4 linked regions of the Drosophila melanogaster genome follow. The gene in region 1 interacts genetically with each later gene. Each region holds a gene or a part of one and is shown in the gene's direction. Other genes may lie near its edges. The genes, in order: hid, morgue, gl and p53.

Region 1 (4,896 bases):
TCGCACTTTATCGGCATATTTTTGACCTCAATCTTAGTTTATTAAATAAAGAGAGTTTTTGGGTGAAAACAAAAAAGGTGTCAGGTAGGGCTAAAATCATTTTTGATTTTAAAAATTTAAGGTAATCATTTAAGGGATATGAACAAGTATAATAAAACTAGATTAAATGCAAGTGCATTTTCTTCAGAATTTTCGACGGGCCTCTTTTATTTTGAAATATGGGCTATTAAACTAGTTTTAGGTCTAGAATCTAATTTGTTTTAAATTATATTGCGAACATTTTATAATACCACATTATTAAGAGAGCTACTAGAGCTACATAGATACAAAGCTAATAAATGGATCTAAAGTAATGCCAGTTACGAGAATTATTTGCCGTAAAATTTAAATTAAAAGCCAAGAATTGTTTTACGCGTATTTCGTAATTTTTTTCAAGCGTTTTCGCGCGCAAAGTTGGGAATGACAGAGAAGGAAATAGAGAGAGAGAGAGAGAGAGAGAAAAGGAGAGGAAAAAGCCTGTTTGTATAATGTGTGGGAGGGAGAGGGGAAGATGCAGAGGAAGACAAGAGTAAGAGCGAAAACAGGTTTTTCATGTTGCACAGTCAATTTTTGATATATGGTGAAATTGATTAAATATAGCCAACATCCAAATCGGAAATGTAATTAGCTAAACTCCTTATCGTATATTCAAAAACACGTTTGAAATGTTTAATGTGAATGAACGCCAACTAAATAGTCTTTATTACATTGCTTGAATACCCAAAATATAAAACAATTTAATTTATTTTATTAAATACAATAAACTAGCTAATCATTCTCTGCATAAATGTACATACATACATACATATGTACATTCATTTAGCCAGTAAAACCTGAGCTAAGCAAGTTGGATCCTTTGTTAATCATGTTGCTATTTTTCAAATTTATATTCAAAAAAAAAGTATTGAACATTATAAAATTGTGAACTTCCCTTCTCAAAATATTTTAAAATGTGAGAAAGTAATCAAGCTTTGTCTAAAAACTCCCTTTTTTCTACTACCTTTTTAACTCATTTAATCCGCTCATAGAATATACTCCCATTTATCATACTCTTTCTACTCCGGTTTTTTGGCCTCTTAAGAACGCTTGCTCTCCCTCCGCTCTCTTGTTTAAACAAATACAAATCAAAACCGAAAGCAAGAGCAAAGTGCAATAACGAAAACCACAAGCAAAGAGTGTTGTACAATTGCAGTTTTTGTTTTGCTTTAGCGTTCGCTAGGCAGCGCAGTCGGATATACTGCCTCTTCGCTACTTCTGATGAGTTTTCTTCTTCTTCTGAATTTACCTGCTCGACAAGATCTTTGTGTACCCACACATACACGCGTACACAGCCTGCCCACACACTCTTAGTTGAAACGAGAAAGAACGTTTTGTAAGAGTACCAACTGAGACATACCCTTCACATTGTTTGTGCATCTAAATATGTACTTTATGTTGTAAGTAAATATGAGTTATAAAATAGTGTTACTTCAGCAATTAGTGCGCTGGTACAATATTTCAGTTTTTTCAGTATGCGAAAGCCAATCAATTAAATTTTTACAACCTTAAAATCTAGATATGTTAACTATGCTCCTTGATGCATTTATGTAGACGCAATTCATGGTCCGAGTATACTCTTCCTCACTCAGCTATTACAGGGTAGGTAAAGAGCGGGATTTTTTAAAATATTTTTTTTCTCTCAAGTGTGCCTCCTTCATGCACGTGCATGTGCAGGAGAGGGAGCGAGAGAGATTGCGATTGCACTGGCTGCGCGCCTACGCTGCCGCTCTGCCGACGTCGCGGTAGAGGCTCTGTTGCCGTAGTTTGAGGCCCCAGTGCGAACAGTTCATTTTTAGCCGCGGAGCCAGTAAGACGTGTTTCCTGCCCTCTTTCTTTGAGTCTGCGACACGTTTTAAGTGCTCTTCCATAATTGACAACAGCAAAAGCAAAGAATAAAAAAATAACAAAAAATAAAAAACGAAATCCATCGTGAACAGTTTTGTGTTTTTAAATCAGTTCTAAACACGAAAAGGGTTGATGAAAAACGCAGAAGAATCCGAAAAACTAACTAACCGAGCAAAAACTTGACTTGAGTGTTGTTTGACAAATCAGGAAAGATAAAAAACAAATCATAAGAAAAAACTGCACGAAAAATGAAAAAGTTTCTAATATTCAAAATCTTGCACAAGAAATACAAAATCAATTAAAGTGAACTCTAACCAAAAGTTGTACACAAAATAAAAAGCAAAACAAAGCAGCGAAGAACAATCACAAGAAGAGCAAAGTGCCAACAAAGTGCAGGAAGGAAGGAAGCGGATAAGGACAAAAAGGAAGCCAGCACACACACACACCCACACAATGGCCGTGCCCTTTTATTTGCCCGAGGGCGGCGCCGATGACGTAGCGTCGAGTTCATCGGGAGCCTCGGGCAACTCCTCCCCCCACAACCACCCACTTCCCTCGAGCGCATCCTCGTCCGTCTCCTCCTCGGGCGTGTCCTCGGCCTCCGCCTCCTCGGCCTCATCTTCGTCCTCCGCATCGTCGGACGGCGCCAGCAGCGCCGCCTCGCAATCGCCGAACACCACCACCTCGTCGGCCACGCAGACGCCGATGCAGTCTCCACTGCCCACCGACCAAGTGCTATACGCCCTCTACGAGTGGGTCAGGATGTACCAGAGCCAGCAGAGTGGTAAGTCTACAAAGATCTCAATTCTCCACTCTTAAGAACTTTGAAATTGTGTGGGTTAATCAGGATATCCATTTAGTTTACCTCAAATACATTTGCAGATACAAAAATAAGTTTCGATTCATATACGGTTATTAATTGCGAAATGTTTAAGAAGTTCCCACACAGAATAACTGCTTACGCATGTTGGTAATATATTTTCTAAAATGCTTATAACCAACACTTTATTTAAGCCCACTTGTTTTGCTATTAACAAGAAGGATTTTCATAGGATCTCCTTGTAAAAGTAAACAAAAAATGTTATTAACTTGAAATTGCTTAAAGAATAGTAAATTTATTTCTTTCGAAAAAACAGCATTTTAAATGTTTGAAGATATTTTCAAACTAATAGATTTGATCAATAAAAAATGGCGAACAATTTTTTTCTATACAAGCGACTTTAAAGGTTTCATATTTTTGATTACCGCTTTTAATATCATTTAGTTTAGTTTAAGAAAGTTTCTGGACAGCCGGAGGGTTTCCCTCATTTTAAAATGGGTCAGCAATTAGCCAAGTTGTGACGTTATTTGTTAACTGCTTCAGTTCCCCTTGTGCAAGTTTCACTTTTCAAGGTTGTTGATTCATCCAGTTTCGAGTAACTGCGTCAACTGCATCCAGGTTGTTTTTGTTTACTTTTACCCAGTTTTTTTTTTATTTTATATATGGTCAATTCAGCACTTTGTCAGCTTATCAGCAAAAAAAAAAGTGTAAAAGGCAGAGCGGAAGGCAAATTTCTCGGCCACATTCGAAAGGAAGCCGAAAAAACGGTAATTCAATAAAAATTAATCGAACAAGTTCAAAAAGGGGAAAATTGAGAAGTAATTGAGAAGTTTCGATTGGAGGAGAGAGCAAACTTAATAAACGAAGTCACAAAACTGCAAAAACTCAAAATCATGTGGGGAATTACTGGATCAAATTCCCAAAGTGGGAATCTTACAAATTAAAAAATTTTGTATTGAGACAAAAATCTACTTATGTTATAAATAAATGAAAATAAAGTAGAAATGGTGATAACTAGCTCGATAAATCACATTAAGATCAATTTCCTTCGGTCATGATTATCTAAACTAGGCTGATAAAACTTTTAGTGTGCTATGGCTTTAAGAAAGAAACGCCGAGACACATGCAAGACAACTGCCGAGTTGGCTGTCATGCGATATTGTTCGTAAATATGGTCAAAAAATTGGGCGTGTGCTGGACCAGCAAGAAAATAAAGACCTGGCTGAAACCAGGGAAACATAACCCAGCGGCAATAAAACAGAGCTGGGAGCACAGAGCTAAGCACGTTTAATTGGCACGCGCCAAACTCGAGTCGAATGTCTTACTTTTGAGACTTTTGAGTGAGTGTGGTGTGCCTGTGTGTCTGGGTATCTGCAAGATATCTATCTATCTCGAGCGTACTGCTCGTATATCTTACCACTCGACTAACCCAAATTATTAAACGCCATTTGACCTTAGGCAACTAGTTTTCCGATTTTCCAAAAGGGGGCCAAACGGGTTGAGGGTGTGGGCCATTTGCAAAGTGTTTGACTTAACGGTTGTTTAAGTAGCTTTTGTGCTCGGCCACGTTGAGTGCGGTCAGTTTTTATTGTTTTTCTTTTTTTTGCGCGCGCGCTTTTCATGTTTGCTTTGCGGTTTTTCATTCGCGTTCCTTAATTTTGTGTTGCCTTTGCATAATAGATTTTGTCGCTGTCGATGATTGCCAGCTGCGCTCTTTGGTTCCACCGAACAACCGAATTGTTACTTTATATTATTTTGCTGTTTTATTTGGTTTGTTACCTTTTTTGCTGTCAGCAACAGTTGGTCAGACGAAAAAAAAGCGTTCCCTTCTCGAAATTACAGTGAGTCACTTTTGGGCGCTTCAATCTGTTTTCGTCTATAATATCATAATTTATACAGAGATACTTTTTTTTCGCTTACGAGAGCTGATGCCCAGTGAAAATTCGATTGCGGGGCATTTATTTTGAAAAACGAGCTAAAAAGACTTGACGTTATCGTGAAAGTTTCGATTTAAAAGTAATTTTCCCTTATCTCATTTTCCCGAACCACATCTAAGCCCCTACTCAACGCACGCCGATCATGTACTTTAGTTAGCCACTCAAGAGGATAATTTATCTAATCGTGACACATCCCGAAACTAGTGAACAATGCTT
Region 2 (4,328 bases), on another chromosome or scaffold:
CATTTAACGCTATACCTAGTTATTTTCTTCTATGCTCTTTGACATGTAGGGTCCGTCAAGTTGGTATCCCATTTTGCGATAGTAGTTTCTGGTGCCCACTCCCGATATGACCGCCAGTTTTGTGCTGCCGTGCTCCTCTCGAGCAATTCGCTCCGCCTCCTCCATCAGCAACATACCGAAGCCCTGGTGCTGAAACTTGGTGGGATCCCTAGCATTAACCGGCACGACTGAGCCATATACGTGCAGCTCCCTCACAATGGAGCATTCGCCCTTCAGTTCCGGGCGGAAGGTATCCGGTGAGCACTTTCGCAGCCTAAGAAGGCCTACGAGAATGTCCTGTTCAGGATCTTCGTATGAGAGGAACGTTTCCCAGCCGCCATTGGCCACATAGTCCCGACGAATTAGCTCAATTTCGTAAGGGCGCACCTTGTTGTGGATTTCCTGAATGCCAACTTCGCGGGTTCTAACATCGCGGCAAGTGGTTCCAAGATCCTTCATGCGGGCCAGCGCCAGTTCACGGAGATTTCCGTGTTCCACGCCGGAACTAAAATGAAGAAAAATGTCAGGTTTATTTAATATATATATCGGACAAGTTACCTAACAAGCGGCATGGGAATGTCGCGCTGTACGCGGTACACTCGCGTCCATGGTGGTACAAGGGCCAAAATCTTCGCCACTAAGTCCACAAGCATGGATGGCGGATATGACTTATATCGCCCGGTTTTCCATAACTCGTAGAGACCAGTGCCGCGAATGACGAGCGTGGGATAGATCTTTAGGCCGTCAGAGCGGAAGGCAGGGTTCTCAAAGTACTCGATAAACTGCTCGATGTCGCGTTCAAAGTCAACATTGGGAAGATCAGGCATCATGTGCGTCACGATCTTATAGCCAGCATCCTTGCCCAGCTGGAAGCTCTCGCACACCGCTCGCACCGTGTGTCCGCGGTTCGTATCCCTGGCCACGTCTTCGTAAACCGATTGCACACCGATTTCCAGCCGGGTGCAACCATAGCTAAGCATATCCGATATGTGCCGCTTTAGGCAGTAATCTGGCCTTGTTTCTATGGTGATGCCAATGCACTTTGTGCGTGACTTCTCCGAGTAGCGTACGGCTTCCGCCACATTGGCGCTGCTGTGGCCGGAGAGGGCGTCGTGTAGGTTGCGGATAAAGTAGTCGCGGTACTCCTCCGGCAGGCACATGAACGTACCGCCCATTACGATGAACTCCACCTTGTCCACACTGTGTCCCAGCTGCTTCAGCTGTTCAACGCGGTGTCGGGTCTGAAGAAAAGGATCGTACCGCGACCGGATGGCTCGCATCGAGGTCGGCTCGTAGCCTGTGTACGACTGTGTCGAGTACTCAAAGTCGCTGTCCGGTCCGCCGGGACAATAGACGCATATATTGCCGGTCATATTGATGTGCGGACAACGATGCGGCTTGCACATGACGGCGACCACGGCGATCTGGATTGAAATAATTGAAATGAATAGTACGCCTTGTGTAAGCAAGTGCGACTTACGCCACTTGCTGTGCGAATGGGCTTTGCCCTCAGCTTTGGAAGCAGAATTTTTTTGGCGTCCTGCGGCACGGCAGCAATTATGTCGACCAGGCGCGGCGAACTGTCCAGTCCATATTTGGAGGCCACCAATGATTTCATCCGATTAAGGTTTACATCCTTTTTGGCTTCGTGCGCCTTCAGCAGCTCCTGAATGATCTCCCCGATGACGAGCACCTGTCGTTCCTGGCGGCTCAATCCCACGCCTGAAATAATTGGCGGGGTAAACGGACGTTTAAAGAATTACTTTCGTAGCGACGTTACCTACCCAACTTCTTTTTTGCCTTCATTTTGCTGATGAATATCACATAAACTGCACGTGTGAAGTTAGCAGCACTTGTTTTGATTCGGTTATCGACCGACCAATAGTCCGATAACCACAACACTGTTTGACAGGTTTTGAAGCTAACACCACTTGGTAACACTTTTAGATGGTCTATCGTTTGTCGATTATTTATTTGTTTTAGCACCAGTTTCTCGGGAGTTCTGTAAAATGACTAGCTGCGTGCCAGCGCATCAGCAAAAGGACCAGGAGCAGTTGCTAAAGGAACTGGCCAGCAGTGGCGACGAGATGGACGACCCGGACGATCCGGACCAGGAACACCACCAGCTGGTAGAGCCGACCTTCTCTTTTTCGGTATGTATACAATAGGCTAGTTTCTTGCGGGCCGATTAATAAATAGCCTTTCCAATTTGCAGAATAGTAACACCTGCTGGGTGTGCAACGGCTACTATGGGCCCAACTTCGGGGAGCCGTTGTGCGGCGCCTGCCACGCCTTCCTGTACAACGCACAGCGGGCGGAGGAGCTGCTCACGGAGCTTTCCGATGACGAGGATTCTGGGAACGACGAGCCGCCGTTCAAGGACAAGCAGGAAGACGAGGAGACCGAAAACGACGTAGACATCATGGGCTTTGAGGATCTGGAGGACCCCCAACCGGCAGCCGTGCCACAACATCCAAATCCGCAGCCACCAATGGAGCCACAGGATCAACAGCCAGCCCAACCAGTTATAGATCTGCCACAGCCGGTGCCGGAGGCTGCGGCACCACGACGCGAGTCTCCGGAGCGCGACTTTGAGCACGAGAGAGCCATTAATCCCTTCCTGCTGCCCATTAAGCGTCCGCGGGCCACGGCTCCCTTGGCTCTGCCCCATTACATGCATGAGCTGGCCGATGGAAGGGCGCGAGTGCATGAATACAACGCCGCCAGCGGAAGCGGAGCAAGTGGCAGCAGCAGAAACATTGTCAACATAATACCCGTCGAGGTGATGCTGAAAATATTTGCCTATTTGGACGACATGTCGCTGTGGATGGCTAGTGAAGTTTGCAAGCAATGGCACGACATTGTCGGGAAAAACACGGCCCAGAGCATGTGGAAGGCGTATATCAAGCAGCGCTGGCCGCTGTTCGACAGTTTGGCAGACAATCCAAACTGGTATCGGCTGTACGGGGCACTGATGTCTTCCTGCTTCTGTCGCACTTGCCTGATTGAGATGGGCGGTCGGGGTCAGGATGCACAGGAGGCAGATCCACAGCTGGGCGATCGGGAGCCGGGCAATGTAATGCGCAACAACTTTCTGCGCGGTGAAGCCAATCTGCTGAACAGCTACGAATCTGAGGGCATATCGGCCATACCGTTGGATCGGCAAAACAACTACTGGCAGGCGACAATTCTGGGGCCACCGGGCAGTCCCTACGAAGGCGGCAAGTTCTTCCTGTTCATATACTTCCCGGAGCGATATCCGATGACGCCGCCCACAGTACGTTTCCTCACCAAAATCCTGCATCCGAATGTTTCGCGGCATGGGGACGTGGGCATCGACATCTTCCAGCAGCACAACTGGTCTCTGGCGCTGAACGTGGCCAAGGTGCTGCTTTCTGTGCAGAGCCTGCTGACCGATCCGTATACCGAAGTCTGCATGGAGCCTGAACTTGGATACATCTATGAGCACGAGCGCGAAAGGTTCGAGCAACTGGTGCGCGCGTGGACATGGAAGTACGCCATGTACGAGCTAATTGCACCGCGCTAGAAGATCAAAAGCCCTCCAAGGACAATGGACTGAAAGTTGGAAACTACCCCTCTTTACGTTGTAACTACATATGCCTGTGTATTTAGCTTAGTTGTGCCATCTGGATTGTTTATTTTGGCCTCCCCTCTCACTTTTCCTGCGCTCCAGGTTGAAACGTAGTCGAAATTACTTAACCTTATAATAAATGTATGCTTTAAGTTACGAGCGGCGTCGCCTCACTTCGTCCAGGACACCTTGGGGATGTCAAAGTGCTCGGTGAGCGTGTCCAGGTGCTCGTTGAATTTCTCCACGCGCTCCTTGTGGGTGGTTTGTGCCTTGTCCATGATTCGCTTGTTGCGCATCTTTTCCTGCTGCTTCTTACTGGCCAGCTCGGCCTTGGTGAGCTTCCGCTCGTAGCCACTGGTGGCGGAGGAGGATGTGGCCCCCGATTCCGCTATTTGCTGCTCCACGAACGCCTTCTGCAGCTCCTTCTCCTTGTCCTTGCCCTTGTGCTTCTTCTTTTTCTTCTTGAGATCCGAATCGTTCTTTAGTTTAAGCTTGCCCTTGGCCACGCAGGCGTACTCGTCGGACATGTCTTTAATGGGTTTTCAATCTGGAAATGGATTGGTAATGAATCCGATCTGTTTACGTTTTTCTTGTTTTTGTTTACACCAACTGCACGTTGTTATCTTTACATAATTTCTGATATTCGATGTTATTACCTGACCAGAAATATATCGATGGCATTTTATCGAATACATTT
Region 3 (7,092 bases), on another chromosome or scaffold:
TCTGCTCAGACTGTGGATCTGATTTTAACACACACGACGCTGGCTGGGCTTGACCTGAAATTCCCATCGATAAGGTAAGGTGATATGGGGGATATAGCTCGATACGTATGCGATCACTGCAAGCCTTTGCACTCAACTGATTTTGCCAATTGGCGGTGAATTCGATTTCGGGCGTGTGAACCAGGTGATCGATCCGAATTGGGATCTCTTCATAGCATTATATCTATAATATATCTTAGCTAAATATAGTCGAGTTGGGCTTAACACATCTATTTCATAATTTCCATTTGCTTTTCCATCTGGCCTGCGATTTATTCCTTGCTTTTTCTGCTGCGACCACAAATCGAACTATCAAATAACATTCAAACTATTCACGATTGTCGGCCCGGCGACAAGAGCATCGATCGATTGGCAGTCGTCATTGGCCGGGCTACAATTGAGAATCAGCGCCGGAGATAGAGATACAAAGATACACGCAACAGAAGCAGATACACACGGCCAGATACGCAGATACAAGCTACAGAAGCAGTCAGGGGGTTGCCGGCCGACTTGGCCGATGGACTGCCTCACTTAACCACAAAACAATGGAGCGAAGAGGAAGCAGAATGCCGACGAAGACGATCAATGGTTGGCAAGTCCGTAGCAACTGTCCCTCCCTCATCAGAGACCCTGCCAGAAAATTCCCATTTTAATATGTGAATTACTTTATTTTCAATACTTCTTGTATCATATTTATATCATACCAATTACATTGTTTATTAATAATCCCTATAGTACTTTTTGTTTATTATGTAATAAAATTACAATACCTTTATTTTAAGAAAGTAAATAATATGTTATATATCGAAAATATTCACTAATCACAAGCATATCAAATAGTCTCAAGTGATTTGATGTCCTCTTAAGAATTTAGCGACAATCTGCGGTTGTGCATCTATAGATTTTAAGGAAAAGGAACTTCATATCTTCTTTTCAACAAATAAAGTGAGGATACTTGTTTGTGAATTGAAAACAACGTTATTTGAACGGCCATCGATTTTGAAGTGTAACATTCTAGAGCACTAGAACTGCTTGCTAGCGATTATTTCTCGAAGTGTACTCTTTTTTCTCCCCGCCTCGTTGGTATCTGGTGTCGAGCTGTAAGATATTGGGTGACAAATAAAAACTACTGAAAACTGCTGCCGATGTAGCTGGCCACGTATGAATGGGCCTGAAACTCGGACTGGGCGGGATCGGCAGCGGAGGAGTCGGATATGGAGGCGAAGGCGAAGGCGGAGGAGGGTGACTTTGGATTTGGATGAGGATGTGGACGTGGAAGCAGCAGAGGGGTGGGTAGTAGCCGCAAAAGCCGGCAGACGGAGCGCATTGGTTGGCCAACAACGATGACGGCAGCGTTGTTGTGGTGGTGGATGGATGGAATCTCAGGAGTGGGCATGGGATATAGTGCGGGATGGCTTGGTGTGGGTATGGTATGGTATGGGTTTGGTATTGGAGGAGGGGTGCTTTCAGCAAGGGTCTCGAGTGTGTAGTGCTGCGTACTTGTGTCATTATAGCCGACCAAAGTGTGAGTGCGAGCGAGATTGTTGTTGCCGTTGTCTTTTGCGCCCTTTTGTCGCTTGTTTATAATTAAGTGAGTATGTTTTTTGCGCCCTGCTGCTTCCTCTGTAGTTGTCGGTTGTCGCTTTGCTGCCGCTCTGCCAATCCGATATATCAGTCGATTTTGGGCCGAGGTGGCTCGAACCGAACTGCAACTGACAATTAGTCGCCGTCTTATGCTCCTCGCCAAAAGTCGCTTCTTGCCCCGCACTCGAAAAATCGAAAACTGAAAACGCATAAAATTCAAATCGGAAAACAACGATCGTGTGTTACTACTTAAAACCGAGTCTTCGAAAAAAAAGTTACAAACATATTTTGCAAGAAAACGTTGAAATTCTATTGGTGATCTTGGTATCATGCCATTTGTGGATCTATTCAGAAGGTGAAAACGATTAAGAGTGCATATGTGAATAAAGAACGGAATAAACAATATTAAATCTGCAATAAAAAAGAAGAAAGAAAAAATGGAATACAACTAATGTATTTGAAATAAAACCTAATAACTGCAAATAGCTAATTAAAATGTCCTAACAATGTTTTGGCTAAGATCGAAAAAATCAATTCACTAAGAAGATTTTATCAATTTAACAATATCATAGCTTTGATCTCATTAAAAAGAAAAACAAAAATTTACTTTGATTTGCATGCATAAATTAGTTAAATAGCAATTTTAACGTTTTGTTTCTTTCAAAATGAAAGTTATTGTAATTTTAGTATAATTTTTTAGTCCTAACAATAATGAAACAATCGAATTGAAATCCATCTTCGTCATAAGAGCGATCTATAATTCGATATCTCTTTTAAATTTAGAGGTGAAGAATCTGTCATATTGTGTATCTAATTTCTGATTAGCTGTCGAACTTTATTTAAAACTGAATTTATTAACACTTTATTGAAAATATATGAAGATTAGATTTGATATTGGTATTTGATTGAATAAATAATAAATTGAATAATAGATTTGAATAAATGAATAGAAAGTGAATCTTAATTAGAATTTACCAATAATGTTCCGTCATCGCCTTGCAGTTGGAAATTAACGCATCAAGATGAAGCGTAGGAAAAGCAGGAACAAATGCGCGACTGCTGAGCCCAAACGTTCCAGAAGTGGAGTCATGTCATGGGATTGTTATATAAGGGTTCCAAACTCCTGAACACAATTCTGGGTGAGTGAAATCGGAAGCACCATTGCACAGATATGCAGATACAGCATATTGTATGGCGATACACGGATGGAAAGTCGCGAGTCGAGAGAGCAAAGCAAATGGCGGTCTCTCGATTTGTGTATTTGTGTGTGTCTGTGTGTGTCTCGAGGGGCGGAGCTAGTGCGCACAGTGGTTGTCATGGGAGCAAAAATGTATCCATGAGATACGCGCTGCTGGCGAGCATCTCTGGCGTACTTCCAGTGATTTTCATGCTGTTCTTTTTTTTTTTTTTTTGGCTGCGCAGATTCCCTGGAAGATCAAGAGGGTGGAGCTATGTACATATCGTGCGATGTCTCAAACGGCGGTCCTGTGGAACCAGAGACGGGCTATGTGCCCAACAATCCCCTGTTCGGCCTGGCGCTGGACAGCCCTCAGGTGAGTCCTGGAATCCTTTTTCGATTTCGCCTCAATATCTCCGGAAATCTTCGAGCGTTCGGTTGTGCTTGTTTCGTGGAAAGAACTTAGCTGAAATCTGTGATATACCTGAACTATTTAAATTTTATAACCAGGAAATAGAACCCAATACCGAAATTGTGGTTATTTTAATTTGCTATATCGGTAACTGAAAAATCAGACAGTTTTGTACTAAGAAGTTTATCATTTTCGTTTTTAAAGTAATCTATTACATTTTTAACCCATACGATTTTATCTATTGGGAAGTTTAATAGCTTAGAAATTCCTTCCATATGTAATACAATTAAACTCTCCTCAGAAGTCAGTATTAGAATGTAAAAATAGTTAAAATTTACTAAATGTTTCCACTAACTAACTAATTATTTTGTCTTAGTTACGTATTAGTACTAACTGAATGTATTTCATAACCGGTCTCAATCTCCATTTCCGTTTTCGCTCGTGCAGCAAGAGTGCGCCGCTTCCTGCGTCGGCTGCCTATCCTGCCAGGGCAGCACCGCCCTGCCCATCTCCTCGCTCACCAGCAGCGACTTCGACTGCGGCGGCTGTTTCGATCCCACGATTGGAGTGGGCGTGGGCATCGGTGGCGGCCACATCCAGATCAGCACGACACCACCGGCGAGCAGCGGCAACGGGAGCAGCAACAACGGTGCCGGAGGAGGCTCCTCGGGTAATCACGGCTACTGGAGCACCGACGAGATGGCTTCCACATTTCCCGGCCTACCGCCGCTGGACATCGATCCGCTGCCCAGCCTGTTCCCATTCTCGCCCTGCGGCGCTTCCTACAACTTTGCCGCCGGCAATCCGCACCAGGCCGCCTCACTCTCCTACACAGTGCATCCGCACCAGATGCTCATTTCGCCGAACTCCCACAATCATGGCCAGATGCACTCGCAGCACCAGCAGCACCAGCACCAGCAATCCCAAGTCCAGGCATCGCACGTAGGCAACTCTCTCCTCCAAAGCAGTGGTGGCAACAATATCGGCAGTAATGGTAGTGCCGGAGGAGTGGCCAACGCTGCCAGTTGCTACTATGAAACCAGTGCTGGAACGGCCGCACCACCTCCTCCTCCGGCGGCAGCCATGTATCCCAGCATGAGCGTGAACGTCAGCATGAACATGACCATGCACCATGGCTACGGTGCCGGTGATGCAGGCGGCGTGCCAATGCAGTGCTCCCAGATGAACTGGACGCCACCCAGTAACTCCACCTCGGCGGCAGCAGCAGCAGCGGCGGTAAATGTGCTATACCCACCGCTGCTGAGTCCCGGTCACTATCCTGCCTCGGCCACATATTCCTTTACAGCGGATTTTCGGGCACCGGCTCCCACGGGTCTGGGTGCCCTGCCACCGCTGACGGTGGGCGAAAAGGAGTCGCCATCGCCGCCGGCCAACTCCTCTTTGGCTGGCTACTATCCCACGGGGGTGGGCAATCAGGGATACACACCGCCCCACAAAAGTCCCACCAGCTATCAGGCAGCCGCCCTGGGCTTAAGTCTATCCGCCTTCGAGGACGAGGAGGATAGCAACGAGGATCTGGACGGCGATGAGGGCAGCAGTGGCGGCGAGATGAAACCCAATCTATGCCGGTTGTGCGGAAAGACATATGCCCGGCCCAGCACGCTCAAGACCCATCTGCGGACCCATTCCGGCGAAAGACCCTATCGATGCCCCGACTGCAACAAGAGCTTCTCGCAGGCAGCCAACCTGACGGCTCACGTACGCACACACACCGGCCAGAAGCCGTTCCGCTGCCCCATCTGCGACCGGAGATTCTCGCAGAGTTCCAGTGTCACCACGCACATGCGCACCCACTCCGGCGAGCGGCCGTACCGCTGCTCCTCGTGCAAGAAGTCCTTCTCGGACAGCAGCACCCTCACCAAGCACCTGCGAATCCACAGTGGCGAGAAGCCCTACCAGTGCAAGCTCTGCCTGCTCAGGTGAGTCCGGGATGGGGGATTTACTTACACCGTCCTTCCTCATTCCTAAACGAACGAAAATGGTTTTGCTTTTACTTTTACGTAAACCCTTAAAGCTTTAAAGATAGTTTAATAATTTCTATCGTTTCAATATAAAACTAACAACTTGAACAAAACTGAGACTGTTGCAAGCTTAAAAAAAAGGAAAACCAAAGATAATATGCATCATTCATTTTCATTCATGCATTTTCGTAAGATTTTCAACTTCAACTAAAGAACTGAAATTAAATGAAATAATAATTGTTTATTCAAATGTAATGCTAAAGATGAAAATTACCCCTTAAAAAAGGCTTAGGCCCCCAAAGAGCAGTCCTGGAACGTTATACATCGAGTTAATTGCTTTTTTGGTGTCCACAGATTTTCGCAGTCGGGGAACTTGAATCGGCACATGCGCGTCCACGGCAACAACAACAGCAGCAATGGCAGCAATGGGGCAACCGGAGTTGGTGGAGAGTCCTCCACCGGCAGCGGAGTTGGTGGTGGCAACAGCCTGCTCACATGACAAAAGCCAAGGAGTGCAGGAGGTTTCCAGCATTACCACCCCCCGCACACCCACCACATGCACCACCAGCACCACGCCCATCACCATCACCACGCCCACATGGGTAACTACGACTACGGGAACTACAGCATCGGCGATTATACTCCACCCGGAGCCACACAAAACTATTCAGGGTATTATTTCTGCGCACTCAACAAGGCGCCCAAGTTCGAACGATTCTACTAGGGACTAAAATCTGGAGGATCCCATCTGGATAAGAAACCTTAAAGGAGGACCACTCAGTGAATTATACGGGGATAGTCACTCTATCGCTGATAAATACAATAATGTATATGCCATACTCAACATTGCTGTAGAAAAATAATTTGGGTTCGTGTTAAATTGAAATCCTAATTGAACATAACGATGTAATAATACTCATAACCCAAATCCGCATCCAAATGCAGTTAAAAATGCTCAAACAATACAAATCTGAGGAATCGCGGAGAATCGAACAAAAGTAGGCCTAAGAGCTGCACTGTACATACTTATACATACTATATTTATTATATTCGCTTAGCCTAATATGCATTGAATCCAAGTTAGTTCATCCATTAAATAAGGTAGTTCAAAACACGCATAAATCTATTCCAAATTAGCCAACGAAATAGGATTTAAGACGGATATGAGTATGAATCATAAGACCAAACAACACAGCAGCACCCAAAACGAGAATATTTAAATTGGAATTGCCAAGGCATTAAACCCATAAACACCTGTATACGAATATAGAGTCCTAAGCTTAAACTAGACGTAGATGTAAGACAGGTGCTTTGATCTAAGCCAATTTTGGAGTATATAAAGAAAATAATAAATATACGAAAATTAAATACAGTAACTAATTGATTTCAACAATTGAAATATTATATAATTTAGGTAAGGAATTCAAAAGGCTTGACATTTAAACAATATTATCAACTAGGTAAACGGCTTCTGTGTCGCCTCCGCAGACCAGACGACTTCCATGCACATCGAAGGAGTTGATGGACTTGCGAACATTACTCAGCACTCCCTCCACATCGACCAGGGAGCGAACACGATCGCCAGACAACCAGGGGCTGTGTCCGTCTTTGTTATAGTCGCACCCGAGAACTTTGTTCTCTGACCACATCCACACCTCGCCACCTTCTGCGGCGGTGAACAGTTTGCTGGGATCCTTTTGATGGAAGCCTATCTCGTTGATGGGACTTTTGTGAGCGCTGAGATAGGAGGCGGGATAACTGAGGTTTCGCATATCCCAGACGGTTATGGAACCCTCTTCGCTGCCGCAAAGTAAAATATGTTGCTGCATCGGATGCTTGGCAAGGGACGAGACAAAGTTCGACTTGTCATCCTGGGAGGCCACCATAAAGGTGGTCTT
Region 4 (6,968 bases), on another chromosome or scaffold:
AGCTCACCGTCGATTCCCATGACATCACCGTTCTGCTGAACAGCAACGAGACTTTTCTGGTGTTCGCCAAGTGAGTTGCCATTGCCGGGAAATCCAAATCCAAAACATATGGCATCGTAAATCTATTGTGCCCATTACAGCGGATTGCTAGACAGCGACGTGGAAGTTGCGCTGGGAACAGATTCGGAGGATCATTTGCTCCTCGATCCCGCAACGTTTGTGTATCCAGCGGGCAGTACTCGAAATCAGTCGGTGGTGATAACTGGCCTCAAAGCCGGCAACGTCAAAGTGGTCGCAGATAGCGATGATGCGAACAAAGAGATGTGAGTAACTTCACGGGAATCCCAACTGTTCCCGTACCTAATTGGAAAATTCACTTATTTTCCAGTGTGAAGGATGTGTTCGTACGCGTGACTGTGGCCAAATCGAGAGCTTTGATCTACACCTCCATCATCTTTGGCTGGGTTTACTTTGTGGCCTGGTCGGTGTCCTTCTATCCGCAGATCTGGAGCAACTATCGCCGCAAGTCCGTCGAGGGACTGAACTTTGATTTCCTGGCCCTCAATATCGTGGGCTTCACCCTGTACAGCATGTTCAACTGCGGCCTCTATTTCATCGAGGATCTGCAGAACGAGTACGAGGTGCGATATCCGCTGGGAGTGAATCCTGTGATGCTCAACGACGTGGTCTTCTCACTGCATGCCATGTTCGCCACCTGCATTACGATCCTTCAGTGCTTTTTCTATCAGGTAATAATATATATAGCAAATACCATTCAATAGCCTTATCGCCGAAGTGGCAACAGTTGTCGCATTGAACACTAATTGCCATCAATCAAAATGCCAAATCATTTGAATCACAGCGGATAGTTACGATATGAAGAGTAGATAAGGTTTTGACTTGTAAAACATCCATACTTTGTTAAATTTGTCCAGAGAGCACAGCAAAGGGTGTCGTTCATTGCCTACGGAATATTGGCCATCTTCGCCGTGGTGGTCGTCGTGTCTGCCGGTTTGGCCGGAGGATCCGTCATCCATTGGCTGGACTTTCTGTACTACTGCAGTTACGTCAAGCTAACCATTACCATCATCAAGTACGTGCCGCAAGCTCTGATGAACTATCGCCGGAAGAGCACCTCCGGCTGGAGCATCGGCAACATTCTGCTGGATTTCACGGGAGGAACGCTGAGCATGCTGCAAATGATTCTGAATGCTCATAATTACGGTAGGATATAGTCTATCAATTTGTGATTTTCGAATGAAATCGTGTCTGGTTTCCAGATGATTGGGTGTCGATTTTCGGTGATCCCACCAAATTCGGACTGGGTCTGTTTTCCGTGCTCTTCGATGTGTTCTTCATGCTGCAGCACTATGTGTTTTACAGGTGATTGAAACATTGTGTGAATATGATACTTAATCTACGATTATGTCATCTCCACTGTACACTTATCATTATTGCTGTGCTGTTTTCCATTTCTCCCCAGGCATTCGAGGGAATCCTCGAGCTCTGACCTCACCACCGTGACCGATGTTCAAAATCGAACAAATGAGTCGCCGCCGCCGAGCGAAGTGACGACTGAGAAATATTAGAGCTGCATTATCATATGTCTGCTGTAGAGAAAGACTTTTGTGCCAGTAGCGCTTTATGTACATTTTTAGAATTGTAAATATATCCGTATGCCGTAGCTGCCTAAGCTTTGTATAATTCGTGCGTTTTAATTGAAATTTAGTTTGACTAAAATTTGGAATTTCACCATTAAATAAAACTTAATTTTTTGTAGGAGCCAGAAATCATACGGTACATTGCTCGACCATTCAAAGGGCTGTGCAGTGAAACCAATTTGCTGCATACGGCGCGTTATTTGCAAACTAATAAATAGATTGAAGTATTGAAAAAATTTCAAAACAGAAATTCTAACTTGCCGCACAATGGGCAGCACTGTTCGCACTCGGCCAAATCCTTATCGATAGCTTATCGATAGCCATGGATATATGACATTAAGTTAGCCAATTTCCGGTTAGTTGACATCCCTGGAGCACGGAAGATTCTTGCGGACACAAATCGCAACTGCTAAATAAAATTTATTTATTTGAGTGCACAGCCATGAGTCTTCACAAGTCCGCGTCGTTTAGCTTGACTTTTAACCAGTGAGCGGAGATATTTTATTCGGTCTTACCCAACAAAATAATGTTGCGCCTTTTTGCAGAAACACTTCGATTGTTTCGCGTAGCAATAGTCGCACAATTTTTGAAGCTTTCAAGGAGTTCCTGGATTTTTGGGATATCGGCAACGAAGTTTCTGCAGAGTCAGCAGTTCGGGTCTCCAGCAACGGAGCTTTCAACTTGCCGCAGAGTTTTGGCAACGAATCCAACGAATATGCCCACCTGGCTACGCCTGTGGATCCAGCCTACGGAGGCAACAACACGAACAACATGATGCAGTTCACGAACAATCTGGAAATTTTGGCCAACAATAATTCCGATGGCAATAACAAAATTAATGCATGCAACAAATTCGTCTGCCACAAGGGGTGAGCAAATTCAAAACACGCGCTCCAATCGATAAACATTGGCTACGGCGATTGTTCGCGCTGCGTGGCGAATGGCAAAATCCAAATAGTCGGTGGCCACTACGATTCTGTAGTTTTTTGTTAGCGAATTTTTAATATTTAGCCTCCTTCCCCAACAAGATCGCTTGATCAGATATAGCCGACTAAGATGTATATATCACAGCCAATGTCGTGGCACAAAGAAAGGTACAGTGCGGCAACAAATTGATGATCGAACAGTAGAAACCTTGCATGTAGCAACACGCTTGTACTTGCATCATTCGCGCGGCCAACTTGTTTGTGTTTGTTTATCCAGCCAAGGCGCAGTTTGCCACTAAGTTTTTATTTCCCTTTTACACTTTAGCACTGATTCCGAGGATGACTCCACGGAGGTCGATATCAAGGAGGATATTCCGAAAACGGTGGAGGTATCGGGATCGGAATTGTGAGTACCTGGTCACGTGGTCACATGTGGTTTGCCTGGTTGCTAACTATTATTGTTTTTATTATTCCAGGACCACGGAACCCATGGCCTTCTTGCAGGGATTAAACGTGAGTTGTGCTTTTAATGTGCAAAGCTATAGCTTACTAACTATTTAATATTATTCCCCGCAGTCCGGGAATCTGATGCAGTTCAGCCAGGTGGGTAACATCGATTAGCTATTGCATCTTGAAGCGCTGGGACAGATCGGCCTGCACGAGGATCAGCAGGAAGCTGGCCACCGCCGAGAAGACATTGCTGATCAGTCGCATGTCCAGCTCGTACAAGCCCAAGGGTTTAATTTGGTACTTGGTCACCGTGACCAGCAGAGTAAAGCCGTGGACTGCCTGACGGTAGCGGCTGTCCGCATGCTGGAGATTCATCTCCTGGAGAATGACTGCCGATCTTCGGGTGGCCACCAATAGGTGGTTGCACAAATGCGTGAGCAATGTGATCTCCGCCAGCGAGATGGAGAGGAAAACCAGATTGATCAGCGATCCAAGACCATCGTACGGCTTGCCCATGATTAAGGTGTCCGCTATGGCATAGTACAGACTGTAGAAACCCACCGTTATTCCGAGCAGGTGGCATATGAGCGACAGAATCATGGACAAGGACATTGGGGTCAGATACTTTCCCGAATGCACATATATCAACCTATAGCGATACGCCAGCTGGTCGAGTTCATCCGCCAAGGCGCAAAATCGCTGCATGCGGTAGTATTTAGTGTACAACTTTAGCTGGTCCTTCCTCTGCAGCAGATTCACCTCCTGCAGCTGCGCTTCCAGCCGTCTGTTCAGAGCGTACAGAATCTCCTTCACCACCACCATTGCGCCAAAGTAGCAGTTATTGAGAAAATTCGAAATAATTAAGGGAAACAGCCGGTACAAGGTCCAGATCAAGCTCATCTCGGGATGCTGCCGCCTCTGTTGCAGTATGAAAGCCACTTCAATTGTTAGAGGAAAAGCCACGGTCTTGACCAGAGCCAAAACGATGGATATGTACAGCGACCTGCTGTCCAGACGGAATTCTTTTAGGGTATCAAAGAAGGGCACTTTGCTCAACACCTTGGCCACATGGTCACTGATTATCATTTGCGACACATAGTTAATAACAGCCACCGTAATGTTCATATAGCTGTACAGAGTGGTGGCGTCCTTCAGGTTGATCTGACCCTCCTGGTACTCCTTGTAGATTTGCCGCCCGTAAACCAAGCTGAATGCAATTGCCCACAGCGAAGCAAAGGCCAGATTTGCCTTTGAGAAGCGGAATCTTTCACGACGGCCCGCCCGATATCGATTGGCCAGGAGTCCGAAGACGGTCATAAAGCCTATCAGTATGATCGTCAGAAATTTCACCATACGCCGATGCGCGTAGTCGCTGGTGAAGTCCATTTCTCTCGAACAATTAATACAAACTGTGAGCGCACTTTCCACAGCATTAATATCTGCTTAATTGTTTTCCAACTACCCAACTGATGCCATCTAGAGGACCTGTCAAGTAGCCGGACACTATCGGGACACATCGCGAAACGCATGTATTTCACCGGCCGTCCAGAAACCAACTGAGCATGCGTTGTGCTACTACTAGCCACAAACAAAAGAGCATAAGAAGCGTGAGGGAAGCGGCATTCCTTGCGTGACTCAGCCGCTGCCTGCAATTTCATAAGAGCGACATGACGTCAAAGTCGCTTCGAAGTTCACTTTCAGTTGGAGGACAGAACAAAACACTCTTATCTAGCCGATTAGCACGGTGCACTCCTTCCCGTCGTCATCGTTTAGCGAGAATTTCAAGCACTTGTGAAAAATAGAATAGAATACAAAACAAATCGCCAGTCCATTTGTAACTCGAGCAAGCTGGAACATGAAGCTCTATCAGCTCTATGAGCGCAAAGTGTGAACCCTTATATGATTGCGAGTTAAGTTGACATTCAAATAATATCTTGTTTTTGCTTACAGCAATCCGTGCTGCGCGAAATGATGCTGCAGGACATTCAGATCCAGGCGAACACGCTGCCCAAGCTAGAGAATCACAACATCGGTGGTTATTGCTTCAGCATGGTTCTGGATGAGCCGCCCAAGTCTCTTTGGATGTACTCGATTCCGCTGAACAAGCTCTACATCCGGATGAACAAGGCCTTCAACGTGGACGTTCAGTTCAAGTCTAAAATGCCCATCCAACCACTTAATTTGCGTGTGTTCCTTTGCTTCTCCAATGATGTGAGTGCTCCCGTGGTCCGCTGTCAAAATCACCTTAGCGTTGAGCCTTGTAAGTGAAGATAACAATACAGATCGAACAGGATTATTTAACTATCATTTGTACAAACCTTTAGTGACGGCCAATAACGCAAAAATGCGCGAGAGCTTGCTGCGCAGCGAGAATCCCAACAGTGTATATTGTGGAAATGCTCAGGGCAAGGGAATTTCCGAGCGTTTTTCCGTTGTAGTCCCCCTGAACATGAGCCGGTCTGTAACCCGCAGTGGGCTCACGCGCCAGACCCTGGCCTTCAAGTTCGTCTGCCAAAACTCGTGTATCGGGCGAAAAGAAACTTCCTTAGTCTTCTGCCTGGAGAAAGCATGGTAAGGTGACAGCAAAACTCTAGATGGCTAGAACAAAGCTTAACGTGTTTTCTTTCTTGCAGCGGCGATATCGTGGGACAGCATGTTATACATGTTAAAATATGTACGTGCCCCAAGCGGGATCGCATCCAAGACGAACGCCAGCTCAATAGCAAGAAGCGCAAGTCCGTGCCGGAAGCCGCCGAAGAAGATGAGCCGTCCAAGGTGCGTCGGTGCATTGCTATAAAGACGGAGGACACGGAGAGCAATGATAGCCGAGACTGCGACGACTCCGCCGCAGAGTGGAACGTGTCGCGGACACCGGATGGCGATTACCGTCTGGCTATTACGTGCCCCAATAAGGAATGGCTGCTGCAGAGCATCGAGGGCATGATTAAGGAGGCGGCGGCTGAAGTCCTGCGCAATCCCAACCAAGAGAATCTACGTCGCCATGCCAACAAATTGCTGAGCCTTAAGAGTAAGCAGTGAATCGGAGGACAAAGAGATTAAGCTTTACTTACCGAACTTTCCTTTCAGAACGTGCCTACGAGCTGCCATGACTTCTGATCTGGTCGACAATCTCCCAGGTATCAGATACCTTTGAAATGTGTTGCATCTGTGGGGTATACTACATAGCTATTAGTATCTTAAGTTTGTATTAGTCCTTGTTCGTAAGGCGTTTAACGGTGATATTCCCCTTTTGGCATGTTCGATGGCCGAAAAGAAAACATTTTTATATTTTTGATAGTATACTGTTGTTAACTGCAGTTCTATGTGACTACGTAACTTTTGTCTACCACAACAAACATACTCTGTACAAAAAAGCCAAAAGTGAATTTATTAAAGAGTTGTCATATTTTGCAAACATATCCTCGTGGTGTACGCCAATGCCCAGAGCCTACTGTACCCCCACCGTGGAGCACATGCTATGTGACATGTGTGGCTTGTGTGCGGTCAATGCACTCAGGATGCAACTCAGCTAGCTAGCTGCTAATATGTCAAAATTGCTGCGTCGCATTTACATACTTTATTTATACCCGTATCTGCACGTCTTTGGTTTTAGTTCTATGCTTTCAAAAAAAAAAAAACAACCTCAAGCAGGGCGCATGCGTTGCGCCAGCGTTGCACATGTGCGAGGATGCAAAAAAGTGCAACAAACACCAGATGTTGACACTGTGCCGCTGCAGCTGCAGGCGACTTTAGCTTTTGCCACATGCGGCAGCTAAATGTTTACTCTAGCCCACCGATCGCTGTTCATTGACCTAGGGCAGGGGCATTAAGTGCGCCCTAATCGTAACGGAATGATAGCCTCTGTGTCCAAAAATTCAGCCAAAGCGGATGCACTCACTTCCATTTGGGGCCTGTCCTTCTTCGACCGGCT

The links.
Region 2: of hid (region 1) and morgue, changing one suppresses a phenotype caused by changing the other (phenotypic suppression), as found in Drosophila melanogaster (2 studies listed by BioGRID).
Region 3: of hid (region 1) and gl, changing one suppresses a phenotype caused by changing the other (phenotypic suppression), as found in Drosophila melanogaster (2 studies listed by BioGRID).
Region 4: of hid (region 1) and p53, changing one suppresses a phenotype caused by changing the other (phenotypic suppression), as found in Drosophila melanogaster (3 studies listed by BioGRID).

Annotation. Positions count from the first base shown.
Region 1 is NT_037436.4:18,182,603-18,187,498, reverse strand, and holds the start of hid (head involution defective), read left to right. Parts: upstream 1-1,857; 5' UTR 1,858-2,376; coding exon 2,377-2,707; intron 2,708-4,896.
Region 2 is NT_033779.5:4,442,328-4,446,655, reverse strand, and holds morgue (modifier of rpr and grim, ubiquitously expressed), read left to right. Parts: upstream 1-1,975; 5' UTR 1,976-2,048; coding exon 2,049-2,192; intron 2,193-2,254; coding exon 2,255-3,586; 3' UTR 3,587-3,786; downstream 3,787-4,328. Other genes in the region: Elp3 (elongator complex protein 3), read right to left, coding at 16-544, 598-1,463, 1,520-1,761, 1,824-1,845; CG15432 (uncharacterized protein), read right to left, coding at 3,802-4,158.
Region 3 is NT_033777.3:18,367,403-18,374,494, reverse strand, and holds gl (glass), read left to right. Parts: upstream 1-1,756; 5' UTR 1,757-1,978; intron 1,979-2,625; 5' UTR 2,626-2,716; coding exon 2,717-2,762; intron 2,763-3,045; coding exon 3,046-3,176; intron 3,177-3,659; coding exon 3,660-5,152; coding exon of another isoform or gene 5,153-5,156; exon of another isoform or gene 5,157-5,548; coding exon 5,549-5,693; coding exon of another isoform or gene 5,694-5,918; 3' UTR 5,919-6,568; downstream 6,569-7,092. Other genes in the region: Nup43 (nucleoporin 43kD), read right to left, coding at 6,634-7,092. UniProt on the Drosophila melanogaster protein: Transcription factor required for gene expression specific to photoreceptor cells.
Region 4 is NT_033777.3:23,049,144-23,056,111, reverse strand, and holds p53 (p53), read left to right. Parts: upstream 1-2,029; 5' UTR 2,030-2,103; coding exon 2,104-2,147; exon of another isoform or gene 2,148-2,206; coding exon 2,207-2,530; exon of another isoform or gene 2,531-2,717; coding exon of another isoform or gene 2,718-2,755; exon of another isoform or gene 2,756-2,912; coding exon 2,913-2,993; exon of another isoform or gene 2,994-3,063; coding exon 3,064-3,100; exon of another isoform or gene 3,101-3,163; coding exon 3,164-3,190; exon of another isoform or gene 3,191-3,196; intron 3,197-3,208; coding exon of another isoform or gene 3,209-4,423; intron 4,424-4,881; exon of another isoform or gene 4,882-4,892; coding exon of another isoform or gene 4,893-4,922; intron 4,923-4,987; coding exon 4,988-5,297; intron 5,298-5,361; coding exon 5,362-5,608; intron 5,609-5,670; coding exon 5,671-6,065; intron 6,066-6,124; coding exon 6,125-6,147; 3' UTR 6,148-6,455; downstream 6,456-6,968. Other genes in the region: Ctns (cystinosin), read left to right, coding at 1-70, 141-323, 389-749, 936-1,224, 1,281-1,383, 1,484-1,589; Gr94a (gustatory receptor 94a), read right to left, coding at 3,209-4,423.